7 linked regions of the Macaca mulatta genome follow. The protein of the gene in region 7 interacts with the protein of the main gene of each other region in a biochemical or structural test. Links are inferred from orthologs where the notes say so. Each region holds a gene or a part of one and is shown on either strand. Other genes may lie near its edges.

What was found.
Region 1: the proteins of NEDD4 (region 7) and YOD1 form a complex in vitro, tested with the Homo sapiens proteins (2 studies listed by BioGRID, with this or other methods). The link is inferred for Macaca mulatta from reciprocal best matches to the Homo sapiens genes NEDD4 and YOD1.
Region 2: the proteins of NEDD4 (region 7) and RAPGEF2 form a complex in vitro, tested with the Homo sapiens proteins (2 studies listed by BioGRID and IntAct). The link is inferred for Macaca mulatta from reciprocal best matches to the Homo sapiens genes NEDD4 and RAPGEF2.
Region 3: the proteins of NEDD4 (region 7) and TNIK form a complex in vitro, tested with the Homo sapiens proteins (2 studies listed by BioGRID). The link is inferred for Macaca mulatta from reciprocal best matches to the Homo sapiens genes NEDD4 and TNIK.
Region 4: of the proteins of NEDD4 (region 7) and NTRK1, one has a biochemical effect on the other in vitro, tested with the Homo sapiens proteins (3 studies listed by BioGRID, with this or other methods). The link is inferred for Macaca mulatta from reciprocal best matches to the Homo sapiens genes NEDD4 and NTRK1.
Region 5: the proteins of NEDD4 (region 7) and ESS2 interact in a test that uses a peptide from one of them, tested with the Homo sapiens proteins (2 studies listed by BioGRID and IntAct, with this or other methods). The link is inferred for Macaca mulatta from reciprocal best matches to the Homo sapiens genes NEDD4 and ESS2.
Region 6: the proteins of NEDD4 (region 7) and TRERF1 interact in a test that uses a peptide from one of them, tested with the Homo sapiens proteins (2 studies listed by BioGRID and IntAct, with this or other methods). The link is inferred for Macaca mulatta from reciprocal best matches to the Homo sapiens genes NEDD4 and TRERF1.

The regions. Positions count from the first base shown.
Region 1 is NC_133406.1:64,800,761-64,804,743, reverse strand, and holds the start of YOD1 (ubiquitin thioesterase OTU1), read left to right. Parts: upstream 1-1,183; 5' UTR 1,184-1,787; coding exon 1,788-2,130; intron 2,131-3,100; coding exon 3,101-3,804; 3' UTR 3,805-3,983. UniProt on the Homo sapiens protein: Hydrolase that can remove conjugated ubiquitin from proteins and participates in endoplasmic reticulum-associated degradation (ERAD) for misfolded lumenal proteins.
Region 2 is NC_133410.1:167,416,837-167,420,927, forward strand, and holds the start of RAPGEF2 (rap guanine nucleotide exchange factor 2), read left to right. Parts: upstream 1-1,291; 5' UTR 1,292-1,311; intron 1,312-4,091. UniProt on the Homo sapiens protein: Functions as a guanine nucleotide exchange factor (GEF), which activates Rap and Ras family of small GTPases by exchanging bound GDP for free GTP in a cAMP-dependent manner.
Region 3 is NC_133407.1:82,744,236-82,747,735, reverse strand, and holds part of TNIK (TRAF2 and NCK-interacting protein kinase), read left to right. Parts: intron 1-1,867; coding exon 1,868-2,017; intron 2,018-3,500. UniProt on the Homo sapiens protein: Serine/threonine kinase that acts as an essential activator of the Wnt signaling pathway. Recruited to promoters of Wnt target genes and required to activate their expression. May act by phosphorylating TCF4/TCF7L2.
Region 4 is NC_133406.1:110,056,634-110,060,133, reverse strand, and holds part of NTRK1 (high affinity nerve growth factor receptor), read left to right. Parts: intron 1-1,028; coding exon 1,029-1,097; intron 1,098-2,513; coding exon 2,514-2,659; intron 2,660-2,914; coding exon 2,915-3,057; intron 3,058-3,500. UniProt on the Homo sapiens protein: Receptor tyrosine kinase involved in the development and the maturation of the central and peripheral nervous systems through regulation of proliferation, differentiation and survival of sympathetic and nervous neurons.
Region 5 is NC_133415.1:33,572,330-33,575,829, forward strand, and holds part of ESS2 (splicing factor ESS-2 homolog), read left to right. Parts: intron 1-653; coding exon 654-763; intron 764-3,190; coding exon 3,191-3,306; intron 3,307-3,500. UniProt on the Homo sapiens protein: May be involved in pre-mRNA splicing.
Region 6 is NC_133409.1:139,692,655-139,696,593, forward strand, and holds the start of TRERF1 (transcriptional-regulating factor 1), read left to right. Parts: upstream 1-1,139; 5' UTR 1,140-1,520; exon of another isoform or gene 1,521-1,952; intron 1,953-2,003; exon of another isoform or gene 2,004-2,108; intron 2,109-2,364; 5' UTR 2,365-2,449; intron 2,450-3,939.
Region 7 is NC_133412.1:33,147,773-33,151,272, reverse strand, and holds part of NEDD4 (E3 ubiquitin-protein ligase NEDD4), read left to right. Parts: intron 1-1,074; coding exon 1,075-1,196; intron 1,197-1,283; coding exon 1,284-1,354; intron 1,355-3,188; coding exon 3,189-3,284; intron 3,285-3,500. UniProt on the Homo sapiens protein: E3 ubiquitin-protein ligase which accepts ubiquitin from an E2 ubiquitin-conjugating enzyme in the form of a thioester and then directly transfers the ubiquitin to targeted substrates. Specifically ubiquitinates 'Lys-63' in target proteins.

The sequences.
Region 1 (3,983 bases), on a different chromosome or scaffold from region 7:
GTTTTTGCTAGAATAAACTACCACAACACTTGAGCTAATTATGCCTTAGGGTGTATACATACCCCGTTCCACAGGTCAGACGCTGTAACCTAAGAAACTCAACCACTCTCATCGTTGAACCAGAAGCTTCCCTGGACCCACCCATACACCCCAGTGGAATTTTTTTTTTCTTTTTTTGAGATGGAGTTTTGCTCTTGTTGCCCAGGCTGGAGAGAAATGGCACGATCTTGGCTCACCGCAACCTTTGCCTCCCGGGTTCAAGCGATTCTCCAGCCTCCGAGTATCTAGGATTACAGGCATGCGCCACTACGCCCCCCTTATTTTGTATTTTTAGTAGAGACAGGATTTCTCCATATTGATGAGGCTGGTCTCGAACTTCTGACCTCGGGTGATTCACCCGCCTCGGCCTCCCAAAGTGCTGGGATTACAGGTGTGAGCCACCGCGCCCGGCCACCCCAGTGGACTTCTAACCGCTCCTACCTTCCCTCCTACCTACCTCCCAACTCAGGCTGTATCATCTGTTGTAGTGTCTTGAAGAACCAAGGAGGAAAATTGCACCAGCAGAAAAAAATTGAGTCATGAAAGATGTGAAAAGATAGAAACATTACATATCATTTATTCAGAAGCAAAGTCTTTTACAGTGGAGGTGAGTTTGGACCAAGTGAACTACACTTTTCATAGTTGCCCCAGTGGGCCCGTTTGATGCTTGATAAACACACTCTAGACAAGTGGGACTTGCTGTCTGGATACCGGCTGGATAAAGAACAATGAGTATAGATTTCTTGGAAAATAGACATATAAATTCAGGGATGTCTTTATTCCTCCTTCGCCTGGGAATTAAACTCATTCTTCCAAAAGTTCAAACAGTTATCTCCTCTTTGAGACTTTTTACAACTCCCAGAGTGCTCTAGTTGCCCTCTCTATGTCTATACAACTCTGTCTTTATTCTTTCAGCAAGTATTTGTTGAACATTTTTTATTTGCGATTCACAGTCCTGGGTTCTAGGCACACACGGTTGAAAAGGTACACATAATCTAGCATTATCACGTTGCTTTGAAATTCAGTGGCTGTGTGTCTCACACCCCACCCTGTCTCCCAACTGCAATCAATACTTGTTACAATGAAGGCAGGAATGAAGTCTTCATATTTGCATGCCCAGGAACTGAACTGGAATCTGATGACACGCACTACATGACTCCTCCTTACACTGCCACCACCTGAATGAGGCAGCTGCCCTGGGCCCAGATGCTGACCTCATACTGTGCTTTCTGATGTGGCAAATAGACGTTTTCAAGCAGTCCCAGGGAGGCAGAAAGGCCAGTCCTTTGGCCCCTGGAACCTCAATGAGTCAATGTTTAATGCAGCCACGAGTCTAGTCACAAGTATAATTGTTTTTGACTGGTCCTTTGACTCAGTGACCATTCCTGGCATTCGTTTGCGTTGTGAACTATGATTCTGTTTCTCCTAATGTAGTCTGGGTGTAGCGTGGAAGCCCCAATTTAATAATTTCCGACCTCACTAAGTGCAAGGTCACATTCCAAGCTCCAGAGCTTCATTAAGGAACTCCTTCCCCCGCCCTCTTTTCTTAAGCATATATGCTACCGACGCGGAGGGCACCTCACTCGCTCTACAAGTAGCAAGACCCGTTGTCCTTTAGGAATACGGAGGTTTACATCTTCGTTCTGAGGGTGGGGGAAAAATCAGTTGCCACTTTAAAAGAGTTCGCGCTTAAGGCAGAAGCCGCGCCGAAGCGTCGCGAGAACTGTAACAACCCGCAACTTCTCGCGATGTTTGGCCCCGCTAAAGGTCGCCATTTTGGAGTCCACCCGGCGCCTGGTTGCCCCGGCGGCATCGCTCAACCGGCTGCCGGGACCAAAGCTGGTCCCGCGGGTGTCTGGCCTGTGGGCAGCCGGACCGACACGATGTGGCGGCTCCGCTGCAAGGCCAAGGACGGCACCCATGTTTTGCAGGGGCTGTCCAGCCGGACCCGGGTGCGGGAACTCCAGAGCCAAATTGCCGCCATCACCGGGATCGCCCCCGGCGGTCAGCGAATCCTCGTCGGATACCCTCCCGAGTGCCTGGATCTCAGCAATGGGGATACCATTCTGGAAGACTTGCCCATCCAATCTGGTAAGGAATCAGGGCAGGGGCCAGGGAAAGTCCCGGGAGGACGGAGAGGGGCGTGAGAGAGAACAGAACACTAGTCAAGGCAAGGTGGCTGTGGGTCGGCGGGGGACTTTGAGGCCAGGGGCGAGGATAGATCAAAGAACAGAGAACTCTGACGGGGGCCGGGGCAAGTGTCTAGCAACTCCTTGTCTTGACACAGGGTTGAAAGGGAACCCAAAGGCTTGAAGTCCCCCTTCCCCAATCCGCTTTCTGCTCGGCTTTGAAACTATCCCATTTTGTTTTCCGTCGGCGTCCACAAAAATATGAAGAAGTAGGGCCTATTTTCTCTGTCCTTATGTCTCTTTTCCCCTGTATCATCGATGAGATCTCAAGGATGCAGGATTTTTTTTTTCTTGGTTCATTTTTGCAATCCCCTTCATAGATACTTCGTTTGACAGGCATACTCATTTTCGAGTCAGCTTTTAAACACCCACTGAAAGCCCTTTCAATTTCTAACCAGTAGCAGTTATTTTTGTGCCATATCAAAACTTGAACATCAGTGTTTATAATTAAAAGCTTTCAGTTGCTGTATCAAGGACGCTGTAAACACTCAGAGTAGATAAGTTCCCAGAGAAGGAGACCCCCCTAGCGGCCTACTCTGTAGTGAGCACCTTCTGTAAAATACTGTATAAGGAAAGGAAATTTTGTTTTTGAAATGTATCTTTTTAGGTAAGCTTAAAGTTGTTTACTCCAGACCGCTTCACTAAATTGGGATGCAACCTGAAGTGTCTTTGTTCTTTGTTCTTTTTTCATCTTTATGAAAATTCAGTGAACAAAGATTGTTACTGGTAACTTATTTGCAAAGCTGTCTTCTCTTTAATAACCCCAGTTTATGCTTTAACTCCTTCAGTTTGTAATTTACAGACTTGGCTAGTGAACACTCGGTTTCTTCTATAATTTCTCTGCAGATCGGGATTTGTTTTATTTTTAACAGGTGACATGCTGATCGTTGAAGAAGACCAAACCAGGCCCAAAAGTTCACCTGCATTTACTAAACGTGGTGCTTCTAGTTACGTCAGGGAAACTTTGCCTGTGCTTACCAGAACCGTGGTCCCAGCAGACAATTCTTGCCTCTTTACCAGTGTGTACTATGTCGTCGAAGGAGGAGTCTTGAATCCAGCTTGTGCCCCTGAGATGAGACGCCTCATAGCACAAATTGTAGCAAGCGATCCGGACTTCTATAGTGAGGCAATACTGGGAAAAACAAATCAAGAGTACTGTGACTGGATCAAAAGGGATGACACTTGGGGAGGAGCAATAGAGATATCGATTTTGTCCAAGTTTTACCAATGTGAAATATGTGTAGTGGATACACAGACAGTAAGAATTGATCGTTTTGGGGAAGATGCAGGATATACTAAAAGGGTTCTGCTTATTTATGATGGCATCCACTATGATCCACTTCAGCGTAACTTCCCTGATCCAGATACACCTCCTCTGACCATTTTCTCCTCTAATGATGATATTGTTCTTGTACAAGCACTGGAATTAGCAGATGAAGCTAGAAGAAGGAGACAGTTTACTGATGTCAACCGCTTCACCCTGAGATGCATGGTATGTCAGAAAGGATTAACTGGACAAGCAGAAGCAAGGGAACATGCCAAGGAGACAGGCCATACCAACTTTGGAGAAGTGTGATCTATGCATGAATGAGGGTTGAAGTCTACTACCTCACAGATCCAGAAGGCTCTGGGTTTTCCAATAAGCTGTCGTAACCCTAAAGAACAAAGGACACAATGCTTGAACCATCCTTTTGACTTAAAACCACTAAGACACTGAAATTCCTTGTTAAGATTAAAATTAGTGTGCAAGTTTAC
Region 2 (4,091 bases), on a different chromosome or scaffold from region 7:
ACAATCAAAAATATCCACAGAAAAGCACCTCATCCTGGAAAGCAGCATGTTATAATAACAATAATGAAAGCTGACACTATGAGCCAAGCACTGGTTTTACACATATTCATTAGATTCTCATCCCTACACTTATTACTCTCAGCTTCATTTTGTAACAGTACAGATGTTGTCTTGTCCTTGTGCTCTTGGTCGTGAGATGTATAAGCGAATATAAGCCCCCTCGTGGTTAGGGGTAAAAGGCATGTTCTAAATCAATTAAAGAATTTATGGATATTTAAATGGACTTAAGGGAGGGGGGATATGGAGAGAGGCTAGTTAACAAATACAAAATTACAACTGGATAGGAGGAATAAGTTCTAGTGTTCTTTAGCATTGGATTAGGATAGTTAATAGCTTATTTTCAGAGAAAGCTAGAAGAAAGGTTTCAAATGTTCCCAACACAAAGAAATGATAAAAGTTTGGGGTGATGGATATGCTAATTGCCCTGATTTGATCATTACTCAGAACATGCCTAACTCATTCTTGGTCATACAGGAAGTTTTTCCTGGGGAAGACAGAACATGGCTGTTTTTATTATAGAACAATAATAGTCTTGAAAGAAACGTAGGCTCATTAAGTGGAGAAGGAAAGGGGGCTGGATATTAAGGGAACATTGTATTCCATGCTGCTGGGTCACCCATTTTAAAAAATGCTAATTAAGTAGTGTGCATTTAGTTAAATCAATGTACTCATAATTAGGTGTGCTTCTCATCTGAAACATAACTGAGAGCCATTAATTCCCTATGTTCAGCATAACAAGGAAGAGTCTTTTCCTGTAGGTTCACAATCCTCGTCTTTCAGAGGAGATCATGTATTGCTGAAAGTCTTCAGTCCTCCCTTCCCCCAAACAATCCATGAGGGGTCTGGCTATTGACAGGAGGAGTGTGAGGAGGGGACAAGGCCCTGGTCATCAAAGGCCTGTGATAGCTTCTGGTCAGCGAAGGCCTGTGATAGCTTTGTAAAGCCAAGTGTGAGTGATGGCCGAGTTTCCATTATTACAATGAAGTCGGGGGGCCTTCAATAATTTGACAGGTAGAAGCACTTGCTTCACATTTCATTGTTCTCATTCAGTATTTAGCAAGTCACAGTAAACATGAAAATAGAAACTTCTGGGAATACACAGTGATGCAGATATAATTTCAATCCAGGTTCCTAAGTATAGAGAAGACTATCTGGAATCATTCCAAAGACTCCTCTGAGAGCTTTCCAGGACAGGCGCCACTGTGTGTTCCCCCTCCATGGCTGCTCAGCACTACCAGGGAAGAGGGGGGGAGGCTGGATGCCACTTTCACAGGCTTGCTGCTCAGGAGCTCGGTGATCCTTGCTTCTGCCCAGCCACTTCCCTGTATACAATGTGATGCCACCCGTTAGTGGGCTGTGGAAACAATTTAGTGGGTTTAATTAAAAAGCATTTAATTGGTGTAATAGAATAGAAAATATCAGTGACTTACATGTATACTTTGTAAAATGTCTGTTTCAAAAGGTGCATTGAGGTTGCAGTATAAAATGTATTTCTTTCTTGGAATAGGTATACAAAGTTTGAATGCTGCTGTCTACACCACTGACTGAAGTAGTTCCATAGTCTCTTTTTGACCTATATGGAACTTAAGAGTTAAGAGTTTGTGGAAATGAAAAGGACCTTTTCTACCCAAAAGAGATTTGGACCACTGATTTAATATAAGTTAAAATGTGTGAAATTTTTTTCTCAGAAGTTTACCTTGTATTTTTCAAAATGCAGTGGAATTAGACTACAAATCAATTTTTTTTTAATTCTCACTGTCTCAGAAATCAAACCATGTATTTTTGTTGTTGTTGTTGTTTTTGAGACAGAGTCTCACTCTGTCACCCAGGCTGGAGTGCCATGGTACAATGAAGGCTCACCACAGCCCCAACCATGGGCTCAAGTGATCCTCCCACCTCAGCCTCCCTGGTGGCTGGGACTACAGATGTGCGTCAACATGCCCAGCTAATTTTTGCATTTTTTGTAAAGGCAGAGTTTCACCATGTTTTGCAGGCTGGTCTCGAACTGGGATCAAGCGATCTACCTGCCTCTGCCTCCCAAAATGCTGGGATTACAGGTGTCAGCCGCCGTACCCAGCTGAAAACCACATTTAAATAACCCACAAGCCAAACAAATTGCACAAAAGAAATTAGAAAACATTTGAAATAATGATAATAAAGATGAGATAAGTTAAACTGTGTAGGGTATAAGGAAACACTGTTGAAAGGGGAATTCTACAACATAGACATTATTAGAATGTGATCAGGAATAAGTGTGCCTTTAAGATCCTTAACTCTCTTCTCGTCTCCTATTTTTGTTCTCTCTCAGCTTCTCCTTGTTTATTTTTGTTTCTGTCTGTATAGTCCCCTACCTCTCTAACCCCCTTTCTTTCACCATGCTTTCTTTACAGAACTTCTAACTTCTCTCAGCTTCTCCACCTCATTCTTTCCTCTCTTTCTAGTTTCCAACTTTTCACTATTGTTCCCCTCAATAGTTCTTTCCTTTCTTCTCCCTCTTCCTCCCTCTTTGTTTTCTTTTTCTCTACTTGTTTTACCCTCCTGGCTGTTATCGCCTCTCCTTCTCCATCCTCTTTTGGCTTCACCCCAGTTCTCTATCATTTTGCACCTCTCTAACATCCCATCTTTTTTCTTTCTGCTTTCCCTTCTCTCTATTCTTCCCTCTTTCTTCCTAGTTTCCTCTGTCTCTCTACTCCCTCTGTCTCTCCCTCCCTGAGTCTCAACTCTGTGTCCCTGTTTGCCACCGTTGCTTTCTGTGACCTCTCCTCCTACTTCGTCCAGCACCTTTCCTGCTTCCGTGCACTCTGTCTTTGGCCTGTTTCACTTGTAAGCCCTCTTGACTCCTTCACTTTTTCTTCTGCTTTTTCCCCATTTGCGTCTCTTTTAAATTTTTATTTTTAATTGAGGTAAAAAGCATATAACAACGTTTATTATCTTAACCATTTCGAAGTGTACACAGTTCAGTCATGTTAAGTACATTCACGTTGTTGTGCAATTTCTTCATTTTAAAAAATTATACTTATGAAAACAAATCTACTCTAAAAATCAGCTTCAGTTATCCAGGACTCAAAAAAAAATTGCCTTCAACTTCCAGTAAATATTTAATATTGTGGGTCTATTGTTTTAAAAATGCTTTATTTTATGAAGTTTGGCTATAATGTATTAGCACTGGTTCCAGTCACATTGCACTCATTATTTTATATAGTTTAAGTGATTATAAATTGTATTTTTAATAACCTTCCTTGTTTTACCATTTCCATTTATTCCTTAGTTATTAAAATGTGCAATACTCAAATGCATTGCTAAAAAATCATATTCTAAGTGTTCTTTCCCCTGTAGTTTGTTATGCCAGATTTTGGATAAGTAATGCTGCTTCTTTATTAATATTGAAACTGATTTAACAAAAAATATTTCATGAATTCTTGAAACGACTGTTGATATCCTGCAGCAGTAGGCAGATGTAATCAAAGTAACAGTAGTGAGCTCTTAGGAAGGTTTTCTCAAACAGAAATCCTAGCTTCGGCCTACAATTCTGAGTTACTCTCTTGAATTCTAGGCTGATTTCTCAGTCACTTGCAAAGTCCTCTCAATTAAAACTCTATCAGCCTGTAATCTAGTCATTTTATAGAGAGGATTGTTTATTATTATTTCTGTCCTGCCCTTTGAATGTTCTTAGGAACCGTACACGAGGGACTACTCGCAGAAGGAGGTATTTCCTAATGGGTCCCTGGGGAGGTACTTTCCGATGGTTCTCATCACTTTTTTTCCATACTCATCTATTTTAATTAGTTTTATCCAGTATATGCCCTTATTTTTTTTTTTTTTTTTTTGAGACGGAGTCTCGCTCTGTCACCCAGGCTGGAGTGCAGTGGCCGGATCTCAGCTCACTGCAAGCTCCGCCTCCCGGGTTCACACCATTCTCCCGCCTCAGCCTCCCGAGTAGCTGGGACTACAGGCGCCCGCCACCTCGCCCGGCTAGTTTTTTGTGTTTCTTAATAGAGACGAGGTTTCACCGTGTTAGCCAGGATGGTCTC
Region 3 (3,500 bases), on a different chromosome or scaffold from region 7:
TGGTTTTATTGTTTCAAAAGTAAAGACTAAGTTAAACTTAGTCTCTAAATCTTTTAATCCTCATAAATTTTTCTGGATGAAGTCCCTAAAATGCAGGTGATGCTTATATGTCCCCAGTGCTAACTTATGGAAATGACCTAGTTTCTCTGCATTCTTCTATTTTGATTGTGTTTTCATTTTTTACCTTGTCTAAGTTTGTACCCACCATGGTTGGATTGGTCACTCATGAGATTTGCCAGGAGTGGGATGGGGATATGCTAGTCCTGTTGACCCCAGCTCATGAAGCTGACACCCGAATACCAGGAGGACCAGTACTTACAGGCACCCAGATGTGTTCAGAGCCGCATAACCTATCCATAGCCCAAGTAAACTTACCTTCTGCTTTCTCTCACACTCCCTGTCTCTCTCAGCTTATGTCTGTCTACTTCTTTGTGTCTCATTGGCTGTTACTTTTTCTCCCCACCTTTATGACTGTTATCTCCCTTTGGTTCCTTATTCATTCTTTTCTGCCACATTCACCATGGAGGGCAAAACCTTAGAACACTATGTAGGCCCACTTCAGAGCTGAATCACTTCTACCTTGTTCCCTAGTGCAGATGGCTTATTTGTGATGTGCTCAGGAAAATAGATTCATTAATGGAAATGGGCTCCCCTCCATAACCTCACTTTTATGGAAAAAAAAAAATTGGAATGCACTAGGTTACTAATAACAATTAAGGGATAACTCCTAAAAGCCAAAGTGTCCTGTTCTGCCAAAATCTGTCTCCACAAAAGCTTTTCAATCAACATCCCATTCCCATTCTTGCTCTGAAGTTACTGCCATCATTTTATGACCCAGAGCACATGAGAGAGTGCAAAATGTTCTTTCTGACAGACCAGATCCAGCCCAGAGAGAGGGAAAAGCAAAGGCAAAGACTTGAACAGGGAAGAGTGGAACTGGCAAGAGGCAAAGCCTTCCCATAGGACAAGGACAGGAGGCTTGAGCTTCCTGTGCTGTCAGAATGGTGTTAGCAAAAGATGAGAAGAGAAGGGTCTGAGAGGTAGCAGTGGCATTATAGCTAAGGCAATCGTAGTTTCACAAATGCTCTCCCAGATCTCAAGGCCCAAAGGTAGAGTGTGGTTAAAAAATAGCAAAGGAAAATGGCAGAGGAACACTTGACAGTTAGGTGGGGCTTGGGCTCTGGATTCAAACACAGAGAACTTTCACAAACTTGACAAGACCTCTCTTTTTGCTTTCTAGTTAAACCCAAATAGTCAATGCAAGCCATCAATCTTGTGATGTTCCACTCTCACCTCTTTCTCTACCACCCAAACCCAAGTCTCAGATTCCAACATTAAGAGAAAGTGCCAATCTTATGCCCACTCATTCGCTGAAGAAATTCCAAACCAGAGCATGCCCATTAACACTGAACAGGCTGAGAAAACAGCCGGCCTTGGCTGTCCCTCCCAGGCTGTCTTTGAAAGGGTAATTGCTATGGATGGGCCTCACTGCCACATGGGAAAGAGAGGGGCCAGAGAGGTAACTGGGCCTTCTTCCGAGGACAAAGGCCAGAAATAAACAGGAAAAAACAGCAGCACCCAGGCACCAGGTCTTTAATATACATTACCACTATCAAAATTTACACCTGTGCACCAGCTTAAACTTCATTGACCTGGAGGACAAAGGGTAGGGAAAGGGGCAAAAATGGATGCTAGACCCTTCCTCCTACAGCCAGAATATCAACAGACCTAAAACTGAAAGAGAAATTTTCTAGCTTTTCACTTTAATAAAGTTAGGAGTTAACTTCCTCTAGACAGTGGCTAAAGGAAAAAAATTATTAAGATACCTCTTTGAGTGATGCGGATACTGATGGGGTGATTTTTAAAGTCTTTTGCAGATCTCCAGCACAAGCCTCTGCTAGTTGATCTCACGGTAGAAGAAGGTCAAAGATTAAAGGTTATTTTTGGTTCACACACTGGTTTCCATGTAATTGATGTTGATTCAGGAAACTCTTATGATATCTACATACCATCTCATGTAAGTACCCAGAAGTAGACTTCCAAGGAATCTGTGTACAACAGCCTGCATGTAGAAAGAGATTTGTTTTGCACAGTTTTAGTAGAAGTCATGCAAACTTTACTAACCAGCAGACGGACTTTCGTTCTTCATTAAGTATACTGCTTTTAATAACTAAAATACATAAATTTAATTTACATGACTTCCTAAAACTGGAGAATACATAATAGAGATCATTTGGCATTTACATGTTGTCTCATTGGACTTTAGATTAAAATGAATATGATATTTTTCTTTCAAGAGCATGAATTATATTCGGTAGACGAGTTTCCACATTCAGTTTTTGAAGGGAAATTGGTTCATTTTATGTTAGAGAAAGCCAATGGTCAGGTACTAATTTATTGGAGAAAATTCTTTTTTTTTGCTATCTTTAGTTCCTTACTTCAGCTTGAGGGCAGCGTGGTATAGTGGAGTCAGACACAGGGGCACTCATACTCTGGCTCTAGCATGTATTAGCTTTGCAATAATGGACACAGTAGGCAGCCTCTCCAATCCTCAGCTTTCACATCTGTAAAATATGATAAAAAGACTTATCCCATAGGATTATCATTAGTATTAAATGAGGTAATGGATCTAAAGCAGTTGGTACAGGGTCCTGCAAATTATATATCTTACTAGCCCTAAAATATTCATATTACTATCCTGACATATTGCTTGAAACATAACTGTTAAAGGGAAATGCTGCACATGGATTCACTTATTAGGATCAGTGTAGTGTAAATTGTGTGTCCTGTGTGTAATTCCAAGGCTAACATACAGGAGAAACTATCAGGAATGTTTGAAGCTACTGCTGACTGGTATTTTGAGAATTTGAGGACTTTATTCTAATGAAATGCAATAACTAAAAGAAGTTGTTTTAGTATATTACATACACACACACGATTGCCATTCATTGCTGCATTATTACAGCTTTTAACTCATGTGTATGTGGGTGAACACAAGGATTCACAGCTCACATTCCTGGTGAGGCAGCTAAGGCATAACTGTGATCATCCTCAACTCTCTTATTCCAATCCATCAAGCACATGTTGGTCAGCCATGGCATTCGCAACTACGGGGATCACAACATCACATTTCCTTTCCTAGAACAAATTAATATACACTGATTTCAGTAGTGATTTTTTTTTTTATTTTTTGAGACAGAGTCTCGCTCTGTCACCCAGGCTGGAGTGCAGTGGCGTGCCTTGGCTCACTGCAAGCTGTGCCTCCTGGGTTCACACCATTCTCCTGCCTCAGCCTCCCAAGTAGCTGGGACTATAGGCACCTGCCACCACGCCTGGCTTATTTTTTGTATTTTTAGTAGAGATGGGGTTTCACTGTGTTAGCCAGGATGGTCTCGATCTCCTGATGTCGTGATCTGCCCATCTTGGCCTCCCAAAGTGCTGGGATTACAGGCATGAGCCACTGTGCGCAGCAATAGTGATTTTTTTAAATGACTGGTAAT
Region 4 (3,500 bases), on a different chromosome or scaffold from region 7:
TGTGTCCAGCAATTTAACAAGGCAAAATAAAGTGATGTCGTATCACCATCTATGCACCGGGGCTTCCGTTAAAAACGTGTTCAATGACACTTCACGGTACTTATGTCAATGAATCTTCACAATCAACCTGGTGAGAGAGAGAGTGTTCTTGTCCCCATTTCATAGATAAGAATTCTGAGAATCAGAGAGGTTGAGTTTCTGGACTGAGGTCACACAGCTGTAAGTGGCAGGATAGAACTTACACCCGCTCTATCTGGCTCTAGAGTGGGTTGTGTCTTTGGTCCCTATGTGGTGGTACCTCTCCAACCCAGCCACCACAAATTCTAGGTTGACTAGGAAAAGAGAGGGGTCAGGATAGGCCCCTCAGAGGCAGAGGGTCCCAGCAGCAGCAGCCTGACAAAGGGCACAGGGCACTGGGGCTCCTACATCATTTTCCGGTGTGGCCAGGCCCCCGCTGGGCTCACTTTTTCCACCCCTACAACGAGGGGGCTGGGGGTGTGGGTCCTTTCCTGCCTGACCTTTTAGTCACTGAGGAGGGCCTGAAAGGAGGAGGTGGAGGGGAACTGAGGAAGTGCGTTGAGTTCCTTGTGGTCAGGTAGGGTCAAGGGAGTGTGGCAACCTCAATCCTCCCCCTCTTCCTCTGGCCCCGTCCTGGGCTCTGTGGGGAGGGGAGCACAGATGGAGCCCTTCCCCCAGCTGTGGCCTCAGCACTTTGCCAGCTGGGGCCAAAGCAGTGGGGGAGGGAGGAGCGGCTGTTCCCTCAGATCCCCCTCCCTGGGGTCTGGAGAGGGGGCTAAGTAGGGTTAACCCTTGTTGTCCCAGGGAAAGGAGTGGGACTCAAAAAGCCCTCTACCACGCCCCCCCATCCATCCACACACACTGCCTTCCAAGGCTTGTTCTGGCTGCCTAGACTGGAGAGGGGGAGCCAGATGTCAACTTCTTTCTCGGCTCCTCCCCTCCCTCACTCTGGGTCAGAGTGAGGTCGGGTCACTCAAGGGGTCTGTCTTGCTGTGTCTCCACGCCCGTAGGAATCTCTCCTTCAATGCTCTGGAGTCTCTCTCCTGGAAAACTGTGCAGGGCCTCTCCTTACAGGAACTGTGAGTGGGGGCACTTCCAGGGACAAGAGCACCAAGTGTGTGTGTGCCTGCGTGCACTTGGGTCTGTGGGATGGCATTGGGTCACTGTGTCTGTGTGGCACTGCTGGGGGGGTCTCTTTGGGGACTATGTGCATGCCAGTGACACCCCCATCAAAGCAGGGGCTGCAGGACCACCCGTTAAGGGGGCTACTGCCCTGGGGAGCTGGCCTGGATGACTGTGTGTGTGCTGGGCCTGGCTGAGCAGATCCCAGGCCCACTGTGTGTCCACGGCACATCTGGCAACATTCCCAGGGCACCTTGCACAGGGGTGAGTGGGGCGCAGGGGTTCATGTGTACCTGGTGGGCACTTAAGGCCTCTGGGTCACTCTGGGAGGCTGTGCCTTTCCCTCCTTGTCACCATGCTGAGAGCCCTTGCCTGGTTTCTCATCGGGGGAGCCTGGGGTGAGGGAGCCCCATGCATCCCTCAGCCATCAGCTGTCTTGTCTTCCACTTTCTGCATTCAATTTCTTTCATTTTTACATTATTTTTTCTTTTTGTGGAGTTGGGGTTTTGCCATGTTGCCCAGGCTGATCTTGAACTCCTGGGCTCAAGCAATCTTTCGCCTCAGACTCCCAAAGTGCCAGGATAACAGGTGTGACTCACTGCGCCTGGCCTATTTCTTTTCTCTCTCTCTCTCTCTTTCTTTCTTTCTTTCTTTTTCTTTCTTTCCTTTTTTCTCTTTCTTTCTTTCTTTCTTTCTCTTTCTTTCTTTCTTTCTTTCTTTCTTTCTTTCTTTCTTTCTTTCTTTCTCTCTCTCTCTCTCCCCCTCCCTCCCTCCCTCTCTCTCCCCCTCCCTCCCTCCCTCCCTCTCTCTCTCTCCCCCTCCCTCCCTCCCTCTCTCTCCCCCTCCCTCCCTCCCTCTCCCCCTCCCTCCCTCCCTCTCTCTCTCTCTCCCCCTCCCTCCCTCTCTCTCTCTCTCCCCCGCCTCCCTCCCTCTCTTTCTTTCTTTCCTTTCTTTTTTTGAGACAGAGTCTTGCTTTGTCATCCAGGCTGAAGTGCAGTGGTGCAATCTCAGCTCACTGCAAGCTCCGCCTCCTGGGTTCACACCATTCTCCTGCCTCAGCCTCCCGAGTAGCTGGGACTACAGGTGCCCGCCACCACGTGGTCCTGGCTAATTTTTTGTATTTTTAGTAGAGACGGGATTTCACCGTGTTAGCCAGGATGGTGTTGATCTCCTGACCTCATGATCCACCTGCCTTGGCCTCCCAACGGCCTATTTCTTTGAATAACATCCTGTTACTGGAGTCAGACGGAAAGACCTCTGTGTCCTCCCTTTCACCTGTAGACCGTCCTCCTCGCGGCCTAACTGCTCTCTCTTATCCCTGTGATCCCTCAGGCCCCTTCCTTGACTCACTTGGTGTCCCCCATGCCCACCAGGGTCCTGTCGGGGAACCCTCTGCACTGTTCCTGTGCCCTGCGCTGGCTACAGCGCTGGGAGGAGGAGGGACTGGGCGGAGTGCATGAACAGAAGCTGCAGTGTCACGGGCAAGGGCCCCTGGCCCATATGCCCAATGCCAGCTGTGGTAGGTGCTGGGTGAGGGAGATGGTGTAAGGGGGCTGGGAAAGAGGCTCACCTGCCTGAGGGAGAGGGCACTGAGCAAGCACTGAAAAGGCCTGGGGAATGGGCATTGGCAAAGGCTGGGGGATACTGCCTGGGGTGACATTGCCTGGGCTCCGGGTCACTGAGGAGGGTGGGGGAAGGAGCAGCCCTGCAGTAGAATTCTGGGGCCACTCCCAGCTCTAACACCCTTTGGCCCTTGGGCATCCTGGGTGGCCAGGTGTGCCCATGCTGAAGGTCCAGGTGCCCAACGCCTCCGTGGATGTGGGGGACGATGTGCTGCTGTGGTGCCAGGTGGAGGGGCGGGGCCTGGAACAGGCCGGCTGGATCCTCACGGAGCTGGAGCAGTCAGCCACAGTGATGGTGAGAAGCCCTTAGCCCGCAGCCCCCAAGAGGTCCAGGCAGAGCACAGGGGACAAAGACGGGGAAAGAGAGACACACTGTGGAGGAAAGAGACAATAAATAAGGAGCACACTGAGGCTGAGGGATGGACAGAGATGCTTTAGACCCACAGGGCTCAGGCCTATGCTGTGGGGCAGCCCAGGGCATGCACACCCTCGGGGGGGGGGCACTGACGCAGCAGGGACCCCAGGCTACACTTGAAGCCCCAGGACCCCTTTCTGGGAACATGGTGTTGGCTGCAAGGGAGAGGGTCACAGAAATCTTACATGTTGGAGCTGAGAGGAACCCAACAGACCATCTCTCCCATACATCCCTTTTCTTTCTTTCCTTCTTTCTTTCTTTCTCTCTCTCTCTCTCTCTCTCTCTCTCTTTCTTTCTTTCTTTCTTTCTTTCTTTCTTTCTTT
Region 5 (3,500 bases), on a different chromosome or scaffold from region 7:
TCTCCTGTCTGTACAAGGCCTTAGAGGCCAGGTGTCCAGGCTGCTTGGGGCCATGGGCGGGCTGGACTCTCAGGCAGACCTGACCCGAGATGTCCTGGGGTGATGTGTTCTGTCCTGGTCCTTGCTGTGATGTCAGCAGGTGGGGGTGTGTGCACAGTGCTTATGAGTCTAAGTCTACCTAGCACTGCAGGGAGGGAGGCTCGGCACCTCAGGGGGCAGGTGACACTCAGGTGGTCCCGTGGCATGCATGGGTGCCCCTCCTGCAGTCTGGCCTCTGTGCTTTTGGGTGCTGGTGCTGTGTCACAGGTCAGGGCATGTGAAGGCACCACAGGTTTGTCCGGGGTTCTAGGAGGTTTGGGAGCCCTGGAAGGCCTGAGTGTCTCCTCCCGCATGGCTGGGGGAGACCTCCCAGAGGCTCGTAGGCTAAGCACATGGCTGTAGGGCCTTGAGCCTGCCTCGGGCCTGCTAGGAGCTTGGCATTTCCCTTTTGGAGGATGGAGGTGCCAGGGTTCCAGAGTCCTGGGAAAGGAGAATGGGCTAGCTGCCTGTATTCATGTTAGCTGGGATGCACATTGGGTGAACAGGCTGTGACTGGAGGGGAGGGTGGTGGGGAGTCCTCTGGCCTGAGACGGTTTTGGGCTCTTTATTTGCAGGTGTGAACGAGTCCCCAATGATGACCTGGGGGGAGGTTGAGAACACACCGTTGAGAGTTGAAGGGTCGGAAACCCCCTACGTGGACAGGACACCGGGCCCAGCTTTCAAGGTGGGTCGTGGTGATGGGGGAACCGTGTGTGACCGGGGTGGACACCTCTAGAGCCCTGAGTGCCTGTGGCTCAGGACTGAGCACTGGAATCGGCCCCCAGCTGCTGACAGGCAGAGTGCTGGCTTTTCTGAATGCCAGGGCACCGAAGGCAGGTGTGGGTGGGTGGACCTGTCACAGAGGGATTTGGGGGTGTGAGGGCTGAGACACCAAGGCAGGGAGTGGCTTGGGCCCTGTGGATCCTGGAGGCCGGGTGCTGTTCACGAGTGAGGGAGGATAGTCACAGACACGTCAGGAGCTCTGCAGGCCTGAGGACCACGGGATGCGGCTGTGTGCTTGCAGAGGAAGGCCCCTGGTTACAGAACATGACTGGGGCACGCTGGATGACACGGCTCAAGCCTGGTGTTGTAGGAGTGGTCAGGGTGGAGTGTGTGAGAACCGGCACAAACCAGGGGAGGCTCTTCGTGGGCTGGGTCAGGTGCAACAGGCCTCCCCGTACCACTGCGGGGCTTTCCCCAGAGTACTTAGTAGAGGTAACCCATGTCCAGACAAAACATGGGGAGAGGTTTTGGTTACTTTGGTTCTGAATTGTCTGGGATGCAAGGATAACTAAGGCAGGCATGCGAGAGGGATAATGAAGAGGATGCTATGCTGTCAAATGTGAGAGCATAAGGCAAGGGCTGAGGTGCTTCCAAGGTGCGCCTGCCACTGCTTCCCGAGTCTCCAGGCCAACGGAAATTGTGAAATCATGAGTCAGAATTTAGGGCTCGATAAAGATGGCAACTCAAATTGCACTGAATAGCAGAGTATTTAGAAATGAAGGAAGCTGGGTCCTTAGGATGTGTAGCAGCATACATTCTGGAAAGGTGAAAAGGTTACATGTAAAAACAATAACCATAAAACAACTAGAAGAAAATAGTGGCGAGTATTTAGTTTGATTTTTTTTTTTTTTTTTTTTTGAGACGGAGTCTCGCTCTGCCGCCCAGGCTGGAGTGCAGTGGCCGGATCTCAGCTCACTGCAAGCTCCGCCTCCCGGGTTCACGCCATTCTCCTGCCTCAGCCTCCCGAGCAGCTGGGACTACAGGCGCCCGCCACCTCGCCCGGCTAGTTTTTTTGTATTTTTAAAGTAGAGACGGGGTTTCACCGTGTCAGCCAGGATGGTCTCGATCTCCTGACCTCGTGATCCGCCCGTCTTAGCCTCCCAAAGTGCTGGGATTACAGGCTTGAGCCACCGCGCCTGGCCTAGTTTGATTTTTTTTTTTTTTTTTTGAGATGGAGTCTCGCTCTGTTGCCCAGGCTGGAGTGTGGTGGCGCGATCTCGGCTCACTGCAACGTCCACCTCCTGGGTTCAAGTGATTCTCCTGCCTCAGCCTCCCGAGTAACTGGGACTACAGGCATGCGTCATCATGCCCGGCTTATTTTTGTATTTTTAGTAGAGATGGGGTTTCACTATGTTGGCCAGACTGGTCTCGAACTCTTGACCTTGTGATCCACCCACCTCAGCCTCCCAAAGTGCTGGGATTACAGGTGTGAGCCACCATGCCTCGCCTTTATTTATTTATTTATTTTAAACAGATAGGGTTTCACTGTGTTGTCCAGGCTGGAGAACAGTGGTGCAATCGTAGCTCCTTGTAACATTGAGCTCCTGGGCTCAAGTGACCCTCCAGCCTCAGTCTCCTGAGTAGCTGGGACTAACAGCACACACCACCACACCCAGCTAATTTTGTGTATGTGTGTGTGTGTAGAAAAGAGGTCTCGTCATGTTGCTCAGACTGGTCTCCAACACCTGAGCTCAAGTGATCCTCCTGCCTTGGCCTCCCAAAGTGCTGGGGTTCCAGGTATGAGCCACCACTCCCAGCCTGTAGTCTAATCTTAAGTTAGGGAGGACTCTCTAAACAAAAGCAAAGGAAGAAATCACAAATGAAAATAACAAATACAGCAGAAAATGTTATAAGTGAAACAAGGGCAAATAACTGAAAACACATATGCACGGTGTAGCGCAGTTGACTTGACACAGGGTCTTGGCGAGGGTCTTCTGAGTGACAGCAGCAGAAAAAGAAAATGAGCCCCTTGAGAGTAAAATAGGCCACAGACACGTGGGGAAGCGCCCAAAATACAGAGTGCCGATAAGACAGAGATGTTCACGCCGATAATCAGGGAAACGTTAAAACAGACCTCTTGTTCCTGAGAGGTTGTCAGAGGTCATGGCTTTGGGAGGAACAGGAAGACAGGTGAGGAGTGCTGGGCCCTGGGCAGGTCAGGCGGGGTTGGGGGCTTTCCAGGGGCTTTTAGTGGGAGATGATGGTGGGTTGTGGGGGTTTTGTAGGCAACAAAGAGAGGCTGGCAGCCACCACAGTGGCTTTCTGTGTGAGGGGCTGCCTGGCATGTGGCAGGCCTGGCACAGCTACCCACACGCCTGCTACCTTGTAGATCCTGGAGCCGGGCCGCAGGGAGCGACTGGGGCTGAAGATGGCCAACGAGGCTGCCGCCAAGAACCGGGCCAAGAAGCAGGAAGCCTTGCGGAGAGTGACGGAGAATCTGGCCAGGTGAGGGGCCGCCTGGCTGGTGGGGAAGTGTGAGGGTAGCTCTGGCCTGCTCCTGCTTGGCCCCTGCCCTGACAGTGTGGAGGCATGGCCCATGCGGCAGAGTCCAGGGCAGGTCTGTGGGGTTCTGCAGTGGGTACTGTGGCAGCTCCTCTATCCAGAGCACGGCCACACATGGACAGGATGAGAGGCCCCCT
Region 6 (3,939 bases), on a different chromosome or scaffold from region 7:
TTTCCCCCATGGAAAAAAAAAATGGATGGTGTAACTTTCTGTAGTGCAAAAAATACTGTCTTGCCCTCGAGACAGATGCCTCGAACCCGGCTCGAGGTGGTCTGTTTAGCTGAACTACCTTTGGCTCACGTTTCCACTGACCAGGAAAGAAGCTTGGAAATGCAGGGATATCAGGCCAGGTTCCCTGGCACCTGGGCCGACCACTGCCACGCCTTCGCGGGACCTGGGGGCAGTCCTGCTGTTGCCCTCCACCCCCGGCCCGCACCGCCAAGGTTTGAACCTTTGGCTCGCCTTTCAGCCCGCGCCCTGCCCCCTCCTCGCAGCTGCTCCCGGTTTGGGTGCAGCGGTTTCCCCCGCAGAGGAGGAGGAGGCAAGAGCGACGGAGCGACTCCGGGCTCGGGTTTCCGCACCAATGCCGAGCAGCCCCGGGCGGCCCCCGGCGGCCTTCCCTCCTCCCCGGCACCACGTTCCACAGTCATGGCGCGCGAGGAGGGGCGAGCGCGCGCGGCGGCTGCACCCGCGCCCCCTCTCCTCCCCTCCCCTCCGCCGCCCGGCCCCTCTCCTAGGCAACCTCCCTCCCTGGCCTGCTGCGCCCGCCGCGGCGATGGAGACCCCTCCCCAGAGAGCTGCTCTTCCAGCGCGGTCTACTGCACCCCTTCCCCGCCCCCATCGGGGCGGAGGGATGGAGACGCGCGCTTCGCGAACCTCCAGCCCCTTCTCCGGAGCCCCAGCCCTCTCCCAGCCCCACCGAGGCCAGGGTGCAGTGGGGGTGGGCGCGGACCGTCTCCTCGCAGCCCGCCTCGACCTCGGCATCTTTGCAGACCCTTAGAAAAATAAACAAACCCCCTCCCAAACCCCAGTCGTTTGCTTGCAAAGCGCGTTACAATAACCGGGACGGCTACGCAGGAAGCAATCCTGCACTGGTCTGGGTTTAAGGCGGCAGCTTCCCGGCCACGCTGCCTTCTCCCCGGCCTCGATTTTCCGGCCACGCCGGAGAGTCCGCTGCACCTCGGGGCTGACAGGTCCCGCTCGCGCAGGGCCGCAACTGGGCCCGTGTCCCCCGTCCCATCCTCGTCCAGAGACTCGCCAGCCTACAAAAGGTGCAACCTCACGCACACGCAAAGCGCACAAATAAAGTCAGCAGCGCACCGCCGCGAAGGCTGCGAACAATGCGCCGGGCTGCCCGCGCCCGCCGGAGCGCTGCGCCCCGGGGGAAAGGGGACGCGGGCGGGGGCCGCGGCGGAGGACCAGCCGGCCGCGGCGCTGGACACCTTACTTCCTGCTTCCCCGCCCGCGGCCAGACCCAGCTCTGCGGAGGGATATCTCTCCCCTCCTCGGTCCCTCTCCCTCCCTTCCCCCGCCCTCCCCCCTTTTTGCTCCTGCTCCCCCCCCCACCCCGCCTTTCTCCTTTTGCAAGAAAATAATTTGACAGTCGATTTGCTGACAGGGGAGGAATTTGCATCCTGGATTTAAAAAAAAAAAAAAAAAGGCCGAGAGGAGCTTGGGAACGGTTGCTAGGGGTGGGTAATGGGTGAAAAAAGGGGGGTACCGGGGAGCGGATAAGGAGGGTTAAGGGAGGGGGCGAGGATGGGGAGCAATGCAAAGGTAAGGCCAGGTTACCGCGGCTCGGCCCCGAGTGGGCTGCGGCCGGGGGAGGGGCGAGAGATACATATGTATTTCTGTCTCCCCAGCACACCCCCTTCCCTCTAAGCGATGGCTGAGAGGCGGTGCATGCAGATGGGGAGTAAGTTTCCTGAAGGGGAGGGTGGATGCACGCGCGCAGCCCGGCGCTGCAAATTTCCACCGGGGAGGGAGAACGGCTGGATGCGGAGAGTTTGGAGTTGCTTGCGGCGGAGGGCAGGAAGGGGAACAGGGCTGGGAAAGGGGGCTGGCGGGCGCTATATCTGGGAGTAAGTTTCCAGCATCAGGAGAGCCTGCACGCTTGCTCACTAGTAAGTTTCTGGCCGGGGAGGGCGCATGGGGAGGAGGAGAGGGAGGGGTGCATGTATATAGAAGGGGGGAGGGGGGGAGCAGATTTCCTGCGGGGAGGCTGAATGCATATGGAGAGTAGATTTCCTGAAGGGAGGGTGGAGGCGTAGACGGACCGAGTAAGTTTCTTGCTGGGGTGGTGGAGGAGGTGGTGGGTTGGTGCTTTGGAAACCCAAAGCTTCCTACCCCGGGTGGGGGAGCACACTCTTGCGGCGGGGCGAGGGGCCAGGTTCCCTGCTGGGGAGAGGGGCTTGCATCTGGGGAGTATGTTTCCTGGCGGAGCGATATTTGTTTACAGGCTGAGGGCAGTACTGTAAGTGAGTAGCGCTGAGAGAAGGCGGCTGACATAAATTAATATTGAAATTACTCCATCAGCTCTGCTCGCCCCCCATCTCACCCCCCAAGCGGAGACTGGTCTTCTCGTCGGATTGCCCATGCACTTGTTGCAGAAACAGCCAAGGTAGGCAAGAAGCTTATTAAGTTTCATTTTTAAAAAATTAGTTTGGGGATGCTCCTCTAGAAGACGGGGGTGGGGCGGAGTGGGGAGGGAAGAGTGGGGAGACAGAGAAGGAGAAGTCTCCCCCCCTTTACTTTCACTATGCAAGCAGGGCCTTCTCCCTTCTTCCCTTCTTCCCTCTCCTCTCTCTGGGCTGCACAGCATCCCAGCAAAGGGGGAGGGATGAGATGGGCGCTATAACTGGCAACCCTGGCTTAAAGGTAGTGATGGTGGGCTTGCATTTGAGATTGTGATGTTATAAAGGCTTCATTCTCCAGCTCAGAAACCGCAGGACTCTGCCTTTTGGGGTTTTTGACATGATGCATATGTGTATGTATACGCGCCTGCGGGCTCTGTGGGGGCTGGGTACTCCCCAGAAGTTAGTGTGGCCACCCAGATGGGAGCAGCGTGTAAGGGGGTAAACCTGTTCCTTCATTCCCCAACTTCAGTTTGGGAAACTGGGAAGTTACTGCCGGTGGTCTTAAGAAACAGATACTAAAAACCAAACCAAACCACTCATTCACTGGCGGAGGCCGAGAGCACCTGGCAGGCAGCCTCTGGGCAGCACTGGACTGGAGCATGTGCGCCTGCCATCCTTAGCTTACAAGAAAACGCTTTCTGGTTCCTCCGTGTGCCTTCCACTGGCCTGTTAGAGCCAGCTTTGTGGAAACTCTTCCCCAGACTGGAGGCAGCTTTGGCAACTGCCGGTGCTGAAGGGGGTGTCTTCAAGTCAGCGTGGCCTGGGCTGTCTTGTGAAGTGCGTGGAAGTCGTGCTTAGGAATGACTGCCCGGGAGTGGCTGAAGAGTTCATTAAAAAATGTCTCCCGAAAACCGGTCCAGGTGCACTTTTCAGCAGGTCACGGAGGAGAGCTTTAAGAAGGGGAGTTTTAAGTTGTCCCAGTTAGCACCCACCTTCTGCATCACTGACCCTTTTAAGAAAGGAGTTTGGCTATAGGAAGTGTGGTGTTGATGCTCACTAACTGGAGAGGATAACAGCAGGAGTCCTCAGCGCTTAACTAGTTAACCAGCAGCCTTTGCCTCTCCTTCCCTCTGTTTTCTTGGTCCTCAGCCTACTGGTGTCTGCAGAATAGTTGTAGGTCTTGGCTGTCAGCTACCTTGATGATGCTGGGAGTTTTAACTTTGCTAGGATAATTTTAGCATCTGAGGTCCAACCCAGAGACGTTTAGTAGGGTTAGGGAGTAGCCACTAGGCAGTGGGGTTAACTAAGGTTGGTTAAGCTTTCTGCAATTCTGCAGACAGGCTCTGTTCTAGCAGGGTCGAGAAAAATGGGTTTTAAAAAACTCACTACACATTGCTGATGGAGAGTGCTTTTTTTCTTTCCTAACTGTCGTCAGATTTCCAGATTGAGGGTTGATACTTGGCAGTTTGAGAGTTGAGTTAGTTGGGAATTAAATATTATTGCTGCTTATCAAATGTTCCTAACTAGGCATTAG
Region 7 (3,500 bases):
TCGTGGCTAACACAGTGAAACCCCATCTCTACTACAACTACAAAAAAAATTAGCCGGGCGTGGTGGTGGGCACCTGTAGTCCCAGCTATTTGGGAGGCTGAGGCAGGAGAATGGCATGAACCTGGGAGGCAGAGCTTGCAGTGAGCCGAGATCGCATCACTGCACTCCAGCCTGGGTGACAGTGCGAGACTCCGTCTCAAAAAAAAAAAAAATTACTGTTTTAACCATTTTAAATATACAATTTAGAGTCATTACATACACTCTATTGTTGTGCTGCCATCACCACCATCCAACTCTAGAACTTTTTCATCTTCCCAAAATGAAACTCCGTACCCAGTAAGCACTTGCTCCCCATTCCCTGGCAGCCACCATTCTGCTTTCTGTCCCTGTAAATTTGACTCCTCTGGGTACCTCACATAAGTGGAATCATTCAATATTTGTCTTTTTGTGACCAGCTCATTTCACTTGGCATGATGTCTTCAGGGTTCATCCATGTTGTAGCATGTATCAGAATGTCCTTCCTTTTTAAGGCTGAATAATATTCCATTATTTTTGCATAGAATGCTTTGTTTAGGCCAGGCGCGGTGGCTCACGCCTGTAATCCTAGCACTTTGGGAGGCCGAGCCAAGTGGATCACAAGGCCAGGAGTTCAAGACAAGCCTGGCCAACATAGTGAAACCCTGTCTCTACTAAAAATACAAAAATTAACCAGGCGTAGTGGTGGGCACCTCTAATCCCAGCTACTTGGGAGGCTGAGACAGGGAAATCACTTGAACCTGGGAGGCGGAGGTTGCAGTGAGCTGAGACCATGTCGTTGCACTCCAGCCTGGGGAACAGAGCAAGACTCCATCTCGAAAACAAACAAACAAAACTTTGTTTATGCATTCATCTGCCAAGGACATTTGGGTTATTTCCACTTTTTGACAGAAATTACTATTTTTAAAACCATTAAATTCAGTGGAGGAATGTGGTTCTAACAGTAGTAAACAACTCTTAAAAGAGGAAGATTATTTATAATTATTTGTCATATTCAAGTGTTTCAAATGAAGTATTTAAATGGGGTTGTCTTTACAGGGACAATTATACCCTACAGATAAATCCAAACTCTGGATTGTGTAATGAAGATCACCTATCTTACTTCAAGTTTATTGGTCGGGTAGCTGGAATGGCAGTGTATCATGGCAAACTGTTGGATGGTTAGTATTAAGTATAAACTTTTACAATGTAATTACCTGTTGTCTTTCACTTGGTAATCATCCTAAATGTATTTGGTTTTTTGCAAGGTTTTTTCATCCGCCCATTTTACAAGATGATGCTTCACAAACCAATAACCCTTCATGATATGGAATCTGTGGTATGTCTTTTTCACTTATAGTTTAGACAAAGTATAATTTAATAAGTAACTTGAACATTTTGAGGAATTTGCTTTTAATGACATGGAAATTAATATATTATGTTTCAAAATACAAATTAACTTTTTCCTCAACATTTTATTATGAAAATTTTCTAACGTTTAATAAAGATGGAAGTATTTTACCCCGCACACTTGTATATCCACTACTCACAATTGGTTTTTTCTAGATTTACTGTATCACATACTTGTCTGTCTATCCATCAGCCTATCTTAGTTTCTTCATGCATTTCAGAGTAAGTTATAGATAACAGTAAACATCCCACTAAATACTTCAATAGGTTGTACAAGTTATGTGTCTTTGGAATCAGTATTTGCATTACGATCTTTTATGATGAATATTGCATGTGTGTGTGTGTGTGTGTATATATATATATATATATATATATATTTTTTTTTTTTTTTTTTTTTTTTTTTTTGAGACAGAGTCTCGTTGTGTTGCCAAGCTGGAGTGCAGTGGCGTGATCTCGGCTCACTGCAACCTCCGCTTCCCAGGTTCAAGCAATTCTCTGCCTCAGCCTCCCGAGTAGCTGGGACTATGGGTGCGCGTCACCTCGCCCAGCTAATTTTTGTATTTTTAGTAGAGATGGGGTTTCGTGTTCGCCAGGATGGTCTCCATCTTTTGACCCCATGATCCACCCGCCTTGGCCTCCCAAAGTGCTGGGATTACAGGCCTGAGCCACTGCGCCCGACCATATGGTGTATATTTTTTAAATGGCAGTCGAAAGGCAAAGCATTATGGTTAGGCTCCTAGAAAAAAACAGAAGCCCAAGGATTAAACCCCTGACTGTAGCCATGTTGTTTCCTGTGCTGCTGAATAGCCTCACACGATGTGTGTACACATGAATTCTAGGACATCTTCCTTAGTACCAAGTTCATTTTTTATTTTCTTATTACATATTAACAGCACAAACAGTGTGCTTCTTTATAAATCGTAAGATTGCACGGTTATTTGAGTTGGTTCATTGAGCCTCTATATTTATTTAGAGATTTTTCTTTAACTCGGGCTGGGTATAAACAATGGCCTCCTCATAGCTACTTAAACATTTCACACACAGTGCCGGACACAGGGGTGTGCAACTGTAATCCCAGCACTTTGGGAGGCTGAGGCATGTGGAACTTGAGGTCAAGAGTTTGAGACCAGCCTGGCCAACATGGTGATAGCCTGTCTCTACAAAAAATACAAAAATTAGCCGGGTGTCGTGGTGCATGCCTGTAGTCGCGGCTACTCAGGAGGCTGAAGTAGGACAATCACTTGAGCCAAGGAGGTCGAGGCTGCAGTGAGCCACAATCACCCCACTGCATTCCAACCTGAGGGACAGAGCAAGACCCTGTCTCAAAAAAAAAAAAAAATTAAATTAAAAAATAAAAATAAAACATTATAGTCACGTAGGCATATGAGGAATGTGCTAAGTGCTCCTGGATATCCAAAGCCAAAAGTTAGGTTTTATCTGAAAACTTCTGTATTCATTCCTTTAACTGGATGATACAATCTGTACCTCCACTGCTTCCACATAAACATAGATTCTGAACTTTTCAGTAGGCACCACTTGATTGATTGATTGACTGGTGCATTTTTACTCTTGCCCTTACCATCCATCTCTTTTTGTAATACACACACATACACACATACATTTTTGTTTATGTGTGTAAGTAAAGGATGTCCATCTGACCTCTCATCTTTTACCCAACTACTCAGCCCCTCTACATATTGTTTTTTTGCAATTTCAGGTGTGTTATATGTACAAATTTTAAATACGTAATTTTTCCCATCTAGGATAGTGAATATTACAATTCCCTAAGATGGATTCTTGAAAATGACCCAACAGAATTGGACCTCAGGTTTATCATAGATGAAGAACTTTTCGGACAGGTTTGTTAATTTTGATCAGTTAAAATGGCACGTAAATTGTGAAACAAATGTTTCGATGTTAATACGTACACTGAATACATTCCTAGGCTCTGTTTTTACATTTATTTTCCAGTAACAAAAACTGTCTCTCAGCAAGAATTTGTGCTTTCTTTAACATTTGACTCATTCCATATTTATTTTAGTAAAACTAATATTTTAAGTTTTCTTAGCTTTTAA